Solanum lycopersicum: one gene and its partners. The protein of the gene in region 3 interacts with the protein of the main gene of each other region in a pairwise test. Links are inferred from orthologs where the notes say so. Each region holds a gene or a part of one and is shown on either strand. Other genes may lie near its edges.

Region 1 (3,756 bases), on a different chromosome or scaffold from region 3:
ACAAGGGTACACCACAAAGACAATCACACTCACATTCTCATTCCCATCGTTTCCTCCTAGTTTTGTCAAATTGAGTTTCCACCAATTCTTTTAAGCTATCAATTTTTGTGATGAAACATTAGGCTATTATACATAAGGCAATAGGCAAGCATATAGAATGCGACAAGGAGAATAGTACCCCATATTAGTTGGAGTTGACCATACAAACTCTTACATCCATTCCATATTATATTTCATTACTAACTAATTTGTCTTGCAAGGCAAATTAGTAGTCTCATAGAAGACCATTATCCAGACAAAAGCTTCAAAGCATTTATTATTGCCTTAATCTGTTTCAACAAGTTGCATTAGAGCAAAAGAGTACATGAGCAGTTCTGATACCCTCAAGCTGTCTACTGTATAGTGTACAACAGCTCCATCGGGAATGCCCAAATGTTAGCAAATTGCTCATTGTGCACCTAGGACTTCAATCTCAAAAACCAGAACTGAGTTGGGCTGAATACCCCATGCTGGAAATCCACCAGCACCATAAGCATAATCAGGGGTGCACTGCAAAATTGAAGACATCAGTTTAAACCTCTCCTTATAGAAGATCTTAATACATAAAAGCCTAGAAACTTTTTTCATATATGTACACAATTATAGTAAGATTAATACTCTTAGGAAGAATGCAATTATTGTATCATCGCCATTCCATTATAAACTTTGCAGCCAATCCCATCAAAAAGATGGAGATGATGTGACCATGAAATGGGCAGTAATACGAGGCAGAAATTGAAAAACGACAATTAGGGGGAGTTATCTGAAACCATCAATCCACTTTAGAGTGTCAATTGTAGAAAACATCATAATGTCTTCCTATAAGCCAGTCAGCCAAAAGGATAGAGACATTTCAGTGAAGTGAAAATAAATCAAAACTCAACAATGTAAAATAACTAGGAGATATCAACCTCCTTATTTTCCAATTGACTCTTAGTTTTCTGACTATAAACCCATAACTCAATGGGAGTCTAAACTTCATAACATGGATAACACAAACATAATTAACTCCGTGATTGATTTGACTTCAACTGAGAATCAAAAGAAAAGAGAAGGCATTTACCGTTAATCGAGCAACTTCTCCCAATTGCATGCCCAGTACTCCTTCATCCCATCCTGTAAATAAGGAGACATAAGAATAAAAGAAATGCAAGCTGAGAGAACTGTCACTATGGTCTACAGCGTTCTTAAGTTTCTCCCTTTGAAGACCCCAGAAGGAGGTGGGGATTTGTTCATAATGGGCACATGTCTGACAAATATAGAAGGATCTAAAAATGCCACTACAAAAGTTCACCACAGCCAAATTTTACTTCGTAAGTCAGCTATGAGCTTTTGCTTTGAGAAAGAAGTGTTAGTTTATCCAACATTAATCTGGTATCACTCAAGAGACCGAAGAATCAGCTGAACTATATGTGTGCTTCAAGGGAAAAGATATCTTAGCTCCTTCCATAGTGTCTTTTCTAGAATGATAGCAAGTTGGTTGTCTCAACTTAAAGACCTACCATCATTTGCCAACAAATCTATAACTCTACATGAATCCACCTATGTCACATTTAGACCTCTTTGGCCACCAACGTAGTAAGCTTTTGTTTGCTTTACAAAAGTGTAAGTTCTCTTGCACTAAAAGCTGTCCAGTATAAGAGCTATAAGCTTCCGGACCACTTCTATGGTCAGAAATTGGGTTTGAGAGAAATTTAAAATGACAATTGAAATCAATAAGAAAAGTAGTGGGATCACTACTATAAGTTCCATTCATGGTTAGTCCAATATAAGACTACTAAATTTTCCAAATTAATTGTCCAATTGAATACATTATCACGCATTACTTATAATAACATACTAACGCATAAACTAGGAAAAACAAATCATATAAATCGAGATATACAGGAGTCGTAAGTACCTTTGATAACTTTGCCTTGGCCGATCTTGAAAGAGAAAGGCTGCTGGCCTGGATCCTTAGTGCTGTTACACGTAAAATTAAGCAAAGATATATACTACACATAACCCTGCATCAAACTTCATAAATAAATAAAAAAAAACAGTTTACCTCCAGAACTTCTGACTCAGGTCTCTATCTTTCCCTGCAGGCATAGAACAATAAAAACAATATTAACCAAAAATACTACTAAAAACTGTACTTACTAAAAATCAAACTATATTAAAGATCCGATTCATCTATAAAGAATAAAAACAGACTGAATTAGAGATTAACTAGTTTGATGCGATTAATCCCTTGTGAAAAGAAAATGGATCTTTTTCTTTGGCGAAAAAAGAAAGAGGACTCACCGTAACCAGTGCAGTGGACGGTAACAGTTTGACCAGGCTGCGGTTTGGGGCCATTTCCGGCTCTGATAACTTCCTTCTCCACTCCCATTTTTTCCGGTGATTTTGATGAAATCTCCGACTTCTTGATTTAGGGTTTGATGACTGAAACTGTAGTGCTTGTCAATTTCAAGGGTCAGTGTCACGTGATTCTCGCGTGCGGCAGCGGAATATCTTCGTTACTTTCCTTTTTATACCCTTTTACATTTTATTTTTTTTTATATATGGGCGGATTTCTAGCTTGTTCGAGGAGAATAAAAATTGCTTACTTTTTTTTTTTTTTTTGAAAAAATGCGATAAATTAAGGTCTTATTGTCTTTAAATTTGTATTGTTTTTAATTTTTTGTATTTTTTTTACTTACGTGATATCTATATATCTCTCACGCGTCAATTGTGTGGATGCACGGAGTGTGCCACGTATGACAAAAAGTATATAAAATCACAAAAAAAAAATAAGTTCAAGGGGTAATAAGACCTTAGTTTAGTTTAATTGTGTCTCTGGATTTCGATCATAGTTTAGGGGGTAATTGTGTATTTTTCCTCTTTTTTTACTTCTTCTTTTGTATGAGTTTTTGGCCGAAATTATCCCTATCATATGACTAAACCTAAAGTATATCCTTTTATTAAATAAGTGAAAAAAATCCTGAATTATTAAAAAAGTTGCAAGATGTATCCTTTTGTCTATTTTTTTTTTTTAAGAAACTCACGTCGCAATTAAAAATGTGTCAAGTCAAATGAATATATGTTCACATGGTTAAGCTAATCAAATTAGGCGGTTCTTTTCAATTTTTTGAAATTGAGGGTTTAAATTATATTCATACAAAATATATTCAAATTCTAAATATTCTTTGAAAAAAACAAATACTACTCCAACTTCAAAAATTTCCAATAAAGTAATTATATATTTTTTATTTTAATAACTAATCAGCTACATAATATCACATTATTTCCAGCATTTTTATACATGGTATAAAATGTGAACATTGTATACATAATATACCCTCAATATTTTATTAAAAACTCTCTAAATAGTTGGATTTAATATATTTGAAATGATTTCTTTACGTAATCTTTCTAAACTTCAGAACATAATGTATGAATTATTCAGAATTTATGTATTGGTTGAAGTCACATGATCGAGAAATGCAAGTTCAACTTGATGAAATTGTTCGTACTATGTGGGAAGATTATATTAAAAACTACTACACAACAATTTATGTTCAATTTTTTTTATTAAATTAAAGTTAGATGAAACAATTATTTAAGTGTAGAACAAATACCTTTGTAATACTTTATTATGCAATTTTATTTTTTTATTTGATAAGATTGAATAAACAATTGTGGCTATTTAATAATTTTACAACTTCTGAAATTTATATATTTATGAGAAAATAT
Region 2 (3,756 bases), on a different chromosome or scaffold from region 3:
CCATGGTGGATCAGCCATTATAACTCCAAACTGCCCTAAAATATCCATTCTAAATGACCGTATGTCACAATTAATCCATTGTGGTTCACCAAGCTCTACTTCTGAACAGTAATGAGCACGCTGAGGTTTCAAAGGCTTGGGAGGGGCCAAGGTAGATGCTCCCATCATCAGGGGTGATACATCTGGCGTCGAGTCAAGCTCATAATGTACATACTTGCATGTCTGCGAATTAAATGAGTGTAAGTACTATGTATTTCCAGAAGATATAACCAAATCCTTATGTAAACATTTTAGATAGGGAAATCACCTTCATGTGACGGCAAGTATCAAGAAAAGAGCAATCACCCAAGTTGACATCAGTATGCACAGCAATTATTCGCCGAAAATGAACCTAAAAATGCATCATAATAAAGTTACCATATCCCTCCGAATATAAAGGTAATGATTAACTAGTGCTTTAAAAGTGAAAAAAAAACACAAAAATATGTCAAGATCCATAGGGTTTGAAGTGAAAAGCAAGAAAATAAGTGCACAGTTCACAGAAACCTAAAATCATACATATATGAATTTAGTATAATGATAATCAAAATTCAATAAAATAACTGATTTTGACATCCGATATGCAACAATGTTGATTTAATCCAACTCCTCAAAGTTGAGAATCAAAGAATAAACTATTTCTTGTTGGGTCACTTTATGCAGACTGTTTGAAGCAGACACATAACAGAAACACATAGATTGGCCCATGAAGCAACGACCCCTCGCTTTGCATCATTTTAATCGACAAAGCAATACCTTTCAATAACATTGTGATTAACACCATCTACAATCTTCATTATTGGTTCGGAGTACTATCTATGTTCAAAACAAATGGTAACAACTTAAAAGCTTCGAGTGTCATAAGTACCAGAAATCACTTGGTCTAACCTTATCACAAGCAATGTAGGAACCAGCTTGGCGTCGACAATCTTCCTTTGTTAAAGCTGAACAATATTCCTTCACCTGGGAACCACCTTTGCTTTTGAACTAAAATACAATTTAAATAAAAAGGTGGTATCAATTACCATGAAAAAATACACTACAAAAGCTTTAGCAAAGAAACAAGAGACGAGAAAACATGTGAAGCATAATAACAAACAAAATTCAAACAACGACGATAGAGGATTATATACAACTAAAAATGCAAAAAAGACAATGTTAGAGCAAAGAAGAAATTAACTTGGCACACCGCAATGGAAGTAGAAATATAAAATAGTTGTGACTTAGCAAATTTCACTTATTTCCGTAATTGCATTGTAGCAAAGATGCGTCTTTACCTCCACACAAGGTAGGTAAGGTCTGACTACATCCTACCCTCCCCAAACCCCTATGGTTATGTTGTTGCATTGTACCAAAAAAAATACAAAATGTAATCAGTTCATTATATCTGCGAGGAGAAATTATCAAACAGAAAGTTTTTGAATGGGGAACAGAAAATTGTGATGGGTGGGATTGTCCAATACCTTTGCAGCGACGGCAGATTCCTTTGCAGTCGGACGATGAATAAGGTCCAATAACTCCTCTCCGGTTTTCGATTTCTGCATTTCCTTAAAACTTTTCTTGTTCAACATTTTCTCTAAATCCTTCAGCTCATCTTCTTCTGACCTAGGTTTTAAAGCAATAGAATTCCCTCCTCCTCCTATTTGCCCATTTGGTCCCATTGGTGGTCTATGCATAGGAGGTGGAACACCAACACCTCTCGGCATCCCCATCATACCCACCATTCCTCTATGCCCTCCTCTTGGACCGCCCATATTCCCGGGAAACATAGCTGTCATCCCCTGCATATGTGGATGCTCCCACATTTCACTCATTCCCCTTCCCATTCCAAAAGCACCTCCATTATCAATCCCTCTTTTCATTATTTCCTGATTATTCCGGTTTCCTCCACCAACACTTCCCTCAGTCTGCTTACTTTCCGGCAATTCTTTCAATAGCCTAGTTCTATCAATATTCAACACCATAATCCTAGATTTCCCGCTAACCACAAAATTCTCCAATTCTACACAACCATTATCCTCCGCCATCGATTTCAATGCCATTTCCACTGCCACTATCGCCCCCGACTCGCCTCCGAGCTCCCTAATCGCTGCCTTTTCAGCAGCCGTATGCGACTGATCATTCTCTAACTTCCTTAACAAAGTAGACGAATCAATAGCAGTAAACGGCACTCTCTCTAACAAACAAACTGCAACCATCGCCCTTACAACCGACAAAGGTCCCCCACATTCATCAATTACCATTTTCTCCTTCTCACTACCACTTCTAGAAAGTTCTGAAACACGTTTACCAGAACAGGAATTGATCTTTGGGACGAGTAAATTAGGGTTATGGTTGGGGGCATTAGGGAGTGGGCTGGGTAAAGGGGTGAAGGGTTTTCCATTGAAGGCTGAAATGGTCTTAAGAGAGAGGTCGAGTGAAGAGACTATATCAGGAACTATGTTTTGCAGTGAGGCGATGAGTTCCAATTGAGCGTTGTGTAGGGTCTGTATACGGGTTTCGTGCTGTTGCCGTAGCTCCTCCACGGCGGCAATTTCATCTGTGCCGTCAGCATGAGTTTCCATCGTTGGTGTTTCTTGAATCTTAGCTGCAGATCGAGAGGTTTATCAGTGGAGGAAGGGTTTTTGTGCGAGGGTTTTTATGTTGAAGGAAAGAGAGGGATATAATATTGCTCTACATACACCTCATCCAATTTCCTTATTACCCCAGTTCAAAATCGAATCGAAATTAATAATTGAATTACAAAAAAGTTACTATTAATTTATAGATAATGAATTGTTAGTTTAGTGATTTCAATAATATTTTTGATTTTTTTGTTGTCAAATTATTGATTCTTATTGATTTGAAATGTTTTCTTAATGGGTCAACCGATTATCGAATATGATTCACAATTTATTGACCAACAAATGCTTGAAAATAATTATTTTTTACATTTTAAAAATCGTGAATGTGTTGTTTCTAATCCTTTTGAAGTAGAATTATTTTATTTTAAGATGATCAACATAACATTTTTCAGTTGATTGGGAGAAAATAATTGATCAGGCTTATACTTTTAGGGATCGTATGGTGTAGGAATAACAATAAGTAGTGATGAGATGAGAAAATAGAAATGGAATAAAAATTTTATATCTTGTTTGGTTGTCATGTTCGGAATAACTTATCTCACTATTTATATCATAGTAATTGGATAAGTTATCACATATACATGGTGGGATAAGTTATTTTAGGATAGCTAATCTCAGGATAACTTTTCTTGAGATAACTTGTTTCTAACCAAACAATTCCTAACTTCGCAAACATGTACAAACATATGACACAAAAGGTTTAGTCTTTTCGATATGAGAATGAAAAAGTTAGTGAAAAATATGCCTCAATTTCTTTCTAAAGCTCAAGTTTGTGAAACCTACTAGGAAAAGCAAACAAAATTGTCATTTGAAGTAAATCAAGAATGGAGAGCTAATCAGAAACTTCAGATCATTCGTACGGATGTTTGTGGCCAAATGAAAACAAATTCATTAAGTGATAACACATACTTTCTCCTCTTTATTGATGACTACACTAGAATGTGTTCGGTTTATTTCATCAGATTAAAGAGTAAAGTATTTGATATACTTAAACAATTCAAAGCTTAGTTAAAAAAATCAATTTAATCTTAGTATTAAGCCTTTAAGGTCTGATAAAGGACCTAACTCATCCAAAGTTAGGAGTTATGGTTGT
Region 3 (3,756 bases):
GTCATTCAACAGCATGATTCAGGCTCCATTAAGTGTGGTGCAGTTCCAAAAGGCCCCCACACAAAGTTTGAACAAACTAGTGAATGCATAAGAATCAAGGAAGGGCTGTAAAACATCAAAGGAAGATTACAAACTGTGAAATTAGACATATTAACCCCTCGGACATTTTAAGACATGAGTAGCAGAGTCAACACGAAGGTTGGAAAGGGAAGATAAATTTATGCTGATGCAAGATAGGTAATCAGTAAATCATCACCATCCAGCCAACATGTTAGTTAAAGCATATTATTATCTGAAAAGCAAGGGAAGAAAGAGATTTTATCCTATACCACAAAAGCATCTAAAATGAATTTTTGAATGATTTGAGTGAAGTATCAGAGAAAACACAAAACAACTTCCCATGAAAGATACTATATGTGCTTACTTCTGTAACTCATGTGGTATTAAACAAGTCCTTGGACAACTTAGGATGTCAGCTATTAACTGGTGGAATGTGAAAGGTAAGAATGAGGTTCATGACTGCATACTAAAGTTCCTTCCAATTGCAATATGTTGGGAAATTTGGAAAAATAGACGTAAGCCAGATTTGATGATAAAATGATGCCAACTTGGTACATCATTCAGCAAGTTAAACAGCCTCATCAATTTCCCAAATTAACCCTCCCTGATTCTTGGATTGGAAATTGTTATATGATAGATAAGGTGAAACCAATCATCATTCAAAGGCTGTTTGTTCGATTAAACCTTCTCATTTTTGGATAAAATTCAATGTTAATGGTTGTAGCAAGGGAATTCCGGGATCAGCAGGTGGGTGCTATAATCAGGGATCATACAGGGGCTATGATTCAGGCCTTTGTTGATTACTATGGGCATTGCAGTAACAATATGGCTGAAGCCAAGGCCATGTTGAAAGGGGTGAACATTTGTTGGAGGCTGGACTTACTAATGTTATAGTTGAATCTGATTCTCTCCTTATTATCGACATTCTCAATGGGACCCTGGAAAATCAAGCAGATTACTGAGAAAATAGCTAATTCATCTCGTGTGGAAACTTTGTTTTTAAGCATAATTTTACAGAAGGCAACTCTACTGCTGACCTCCTTGCTAACATGGAGAAGAATCTAAAACTTTTCTAATCTTCACTGAAACTACTTTCGTACCTTTAAAGGTTAGAGCTTCATTGGAGATTGAATTTGATGGACTCCCAAATTCCAGGTTTAAGAAGAACAAGTTCGCCATTGATGTCTGCTGACTATTATAAGCCTTTTTTGGTGATTAGCAATAGGTATATATTATCTAGCTACTTAGATGAGTCTCATACCATCAGTAGCAATGATACTCAACACAATACTCTTTTTTGTTGTACTCAAATGTCTTTAAAGATTAATTTTATCAACCTTCACAATGCTACAGAGGCTAATGTTTATGCCCTCCTCCGTGTAATTATTATTTTTGGTACATATACAGGTTGAGTCTTGCCTAAACTCCTCCATCAGTTAAATGGACCTTCAGGAAAAAAAAAATTAAAAACCCTATATAAACATTGAATATTAACAGAGAGAAAGTAAGATAATCCAGCATACTATTCTTAATAAAAACAAAAACAAAATTATAATCCAACATACCATAGTAAAAAAAAAAATAGAACATCTAAACTTCTAGGCTCTGATAATTAATATAATATTTTAAAAAATCATACAGCATGAATACATAATGCTGAAAAAGAGGATGACAGATAATTTTGGGTATAACCATGGAAAACAAAAAACAAAAATGAAAGATGATAAGCACCTGAGTTGATGCTAGGTTATCCTTACAGTCCTGTAGACTGCAATAACGAATCACAAAAGACAGTGAGAAAGTGAAAACATAAGCAATTAAATCCAAAAATGTTCACAGATGTGCAACAAGCATCCAACTACCATACCTTTCGCGAAGAGACAAGATCATCCCTGTTGCTGCACCAGGTGCTGTTTCTTCTACTTTCAACAAATTACCCTAGTATTGAAACATATAAATGATAAATATTGACTTGAGATTGACATGCTAATAGTCCTTATGACTCCTATTAGTCTAGTTGAAAAGAATCACAGATCAGTCAAGTTAAATATTCTTGAAGGATTTAAATCCTTGACAGTATCAAAAAGTGCATTTAATTATGTTAAACAATTTATGATGTCTCAAAAGAAGCATATCACATAAATTTTAACTAAGAGAGTGCTTATGAGCAACCCACTAACCTTGTATCCCATGATTGGTTTGCAAGTATGGTTTACAAGACAAACTTAAATAAGAATAGGTAAACAAAACACCTTTTTAGAGCCAAAAATATCGTCCTCATCATCGTCAAGGTCTCCAAAGCTTCTTTTGGTACCTAAAATCACTTGCAATCAAATAATATACTCAAAAACTTGCAGTAAAAAGGACAATGGCGGAGAATTAGCAAACCTGAACGTCCAGTGGCGGCGAAATCTCCACCAAAATCGAGGTCCTGAGAATTCCCCCAAAACGAAAATTCTTCAACATTATAGTATAAAGGAAGTACAAGTTATAAACAACAACTAGAAATAAAAAAGGAAAAAAAGAACTTACATCGTCCATGTGATTATGAGACGCCATTGATAGAATCAATTCAACAAGCTTAAAGTTCAATTTGGAACCCTAAATTTGTTGAACAATGAGGAGGCTTCAGTGAAAAGAAAGCGGGGAAGGAAGAAAAATGTTTTGTCACATCCGGGTGGGTTTAATTCCTAGTTTGTAAAACCGAATTTATTTCATTAGACAAATAAAATCAATTGACCTAATTTGAGCAACATAATCTAAAATTCTTTTTTATACCTTATTACTATTTTATATTATTATTTCGAAATTAATATGGCATTAAAACATTGCTTTAACCATGGTAGGTTAGATCATTTTTTGGCTTCAAAATATGATGAAAAAAACTATACATAGAGAAAATAATGACACACTTTTTTAACAATAAAAATTAGGAAAAACAAAAGCTAAGTCAAGTTTTTTTTCACTTTAAAATATATAAATGTGAATTCAATGTGTATAGATTTTTGACATTCTTTTTAGTTGTAAAAATTAAAATTTGCTAGAGACGACAATTGGAGGAGAGAAAAAATACTATGATAACCTTGAATCCTTCTTTAAAAATTCAAAAATGTACAGAACTTTGTTACAAGTATGTTATAATCTGATAATTTTTTTTATTAATCCAAAATAATTGGGTTATCAAAAGTTGTTGGGCATTTTTAACTCGAAAATTAACGTTAAAAGGGGCAATTGGAACTCGATAAGTGAAGTTGATATTCCAGCTTGTATTTTTCTCTTTTAACACTTTCAATTCCAATCTAGATTGTCACGATTTGATTAGACTGAAACAACTCTATTGTGAGACACTGTACGAAGAAACTCTTTATAGCCAAACTTAAAAACAAATTGATTAAATTAAAGTTCCGGAGAAAACAAGAGGAATTATGACCTTAACTATCTACCACTCATCTATAATTACCACAACCAAATCCCTAAAATACAATATAAAGTAAGAATTATGTGATTAATGGCTGGTAAAAAGCTCACGTATATCATTAATATTAATAATAATAAGAATGGCGATTACTACTTGAATTACATATTTTATATATCTAATAAATAAAAGTAGGGGCCTTGAATTTTCCAGGCTAAAAACAAGAGCTTCATTGGTATAGGGGTGGAGTCACCCTTGTTTCTATCCCATCCATAGCTTCA

The links.
Region 1: the proteins of FKBP12-interacting protein of 37 kDa (region 3) and FKBP12 interact in binary tests that used the Arabidopsis thaliana proteins (3 or more experiments, as listed by UniProt). The link is inferred for Solanum lycopersicum from reciprocal best matches to the Arabidopsis thaliana genes FIP37 and FKBP12.
Region 2: the proteins of FKBP12-interacting protein of 37 kDa (region 3) and N6-adenosine-methyltransferase MT-A70-like interact in binary tests that used the Arabidopsis thaliana proteins (3 or more experiments, as listed by UniProt). The link is inferred for Solanum lycopersicum from reciprocal best matches to the Arabidopsis thaliana genes FIP37 and MTA.

Annotation. Positions count from the first base shown.
Region 1 is NC_090800.1:89,806,809-89,810,564, forward strand, and holds FKBP12 (peptidyl-prolyl isomerase FKBP12), read right to left. Parts: upstream 2,429-3,756; 5' UTR 2,414-2,428; coding exon 2,326-2,413; intron 2,121-2,325; coding exon 2,087-2,120; intron 2,002-2,086; coding exon 1,940-2,001; intron 1,156-1,939; coding exon 1,103-1,155; intron 550-1,102; coding exon 448-549; 3' UTR 211-447; downstream 1-210. UniProt on the Arabidopsis thaliana protein: PPIases accelerate the folding of proteins. It catalyzes the cis-trans isomerization of proline imidic peptide bonds in oligopeptides. Mediates rapamycin inactivation of TOR protein kinase activity.
Region 2 is NC_090807.1:56,953,850-56,957,605, reverse strand, and holds the start of N6-adenosine-methyltransferase MT-A70-like, read right to left. Parts: upstream 2,846-3,756; 5' UTR 2,604-2,845; coding exon 1,503-2,603; intron 1,027-1,502; coding exon 928-1,026; intron 392-927; coding exon 308-391; intron 223-307; coding exon 1-222. UniProt on the Arabidopsis thaliana protein: Catalytic subunit of the N6-methyltransferase complex, a multiprotein complex that mediates N6-methyladenosine (m6A) methylation at the 5'-[AG]GAC-3' consensus sites of some mRNAs.
Region 3 is NC_090802.1:59,711,106-59,714,861, forward strand, and holds the start of FKBP12-interacting protein of 37 kDa, read right to left. Parts: upstream 2,822-3,756; 5' UTR 2,620-2,821; coding exon 2,593-2,619; intron 2,492-2,592; coding exon 2,449-2,491; intron 2,375-2,448; coding exon 2,313-2,374; intron 1,999-2,312; coding exon 1,928-1,998; intron 1,829-1,927; coding exon 1,792-1,828; intron 1,138-1,791; exon of another isoform or gene 986-1,137; coding exon of another isoform or gene 944-985; intron 1-943. Other genes in the region: notchless protein homolog, read right to left, coding at 3,737-3,756. UniProt on the Arabidopsis thaliana protein: Probable regulatory subunit of the N6-methyltransferase complex, a multiprotein complex that mediates N6-methyladenosine (m6A) methylation at the 5'-[AG]GAC-3' consensus sites of some mRNAs.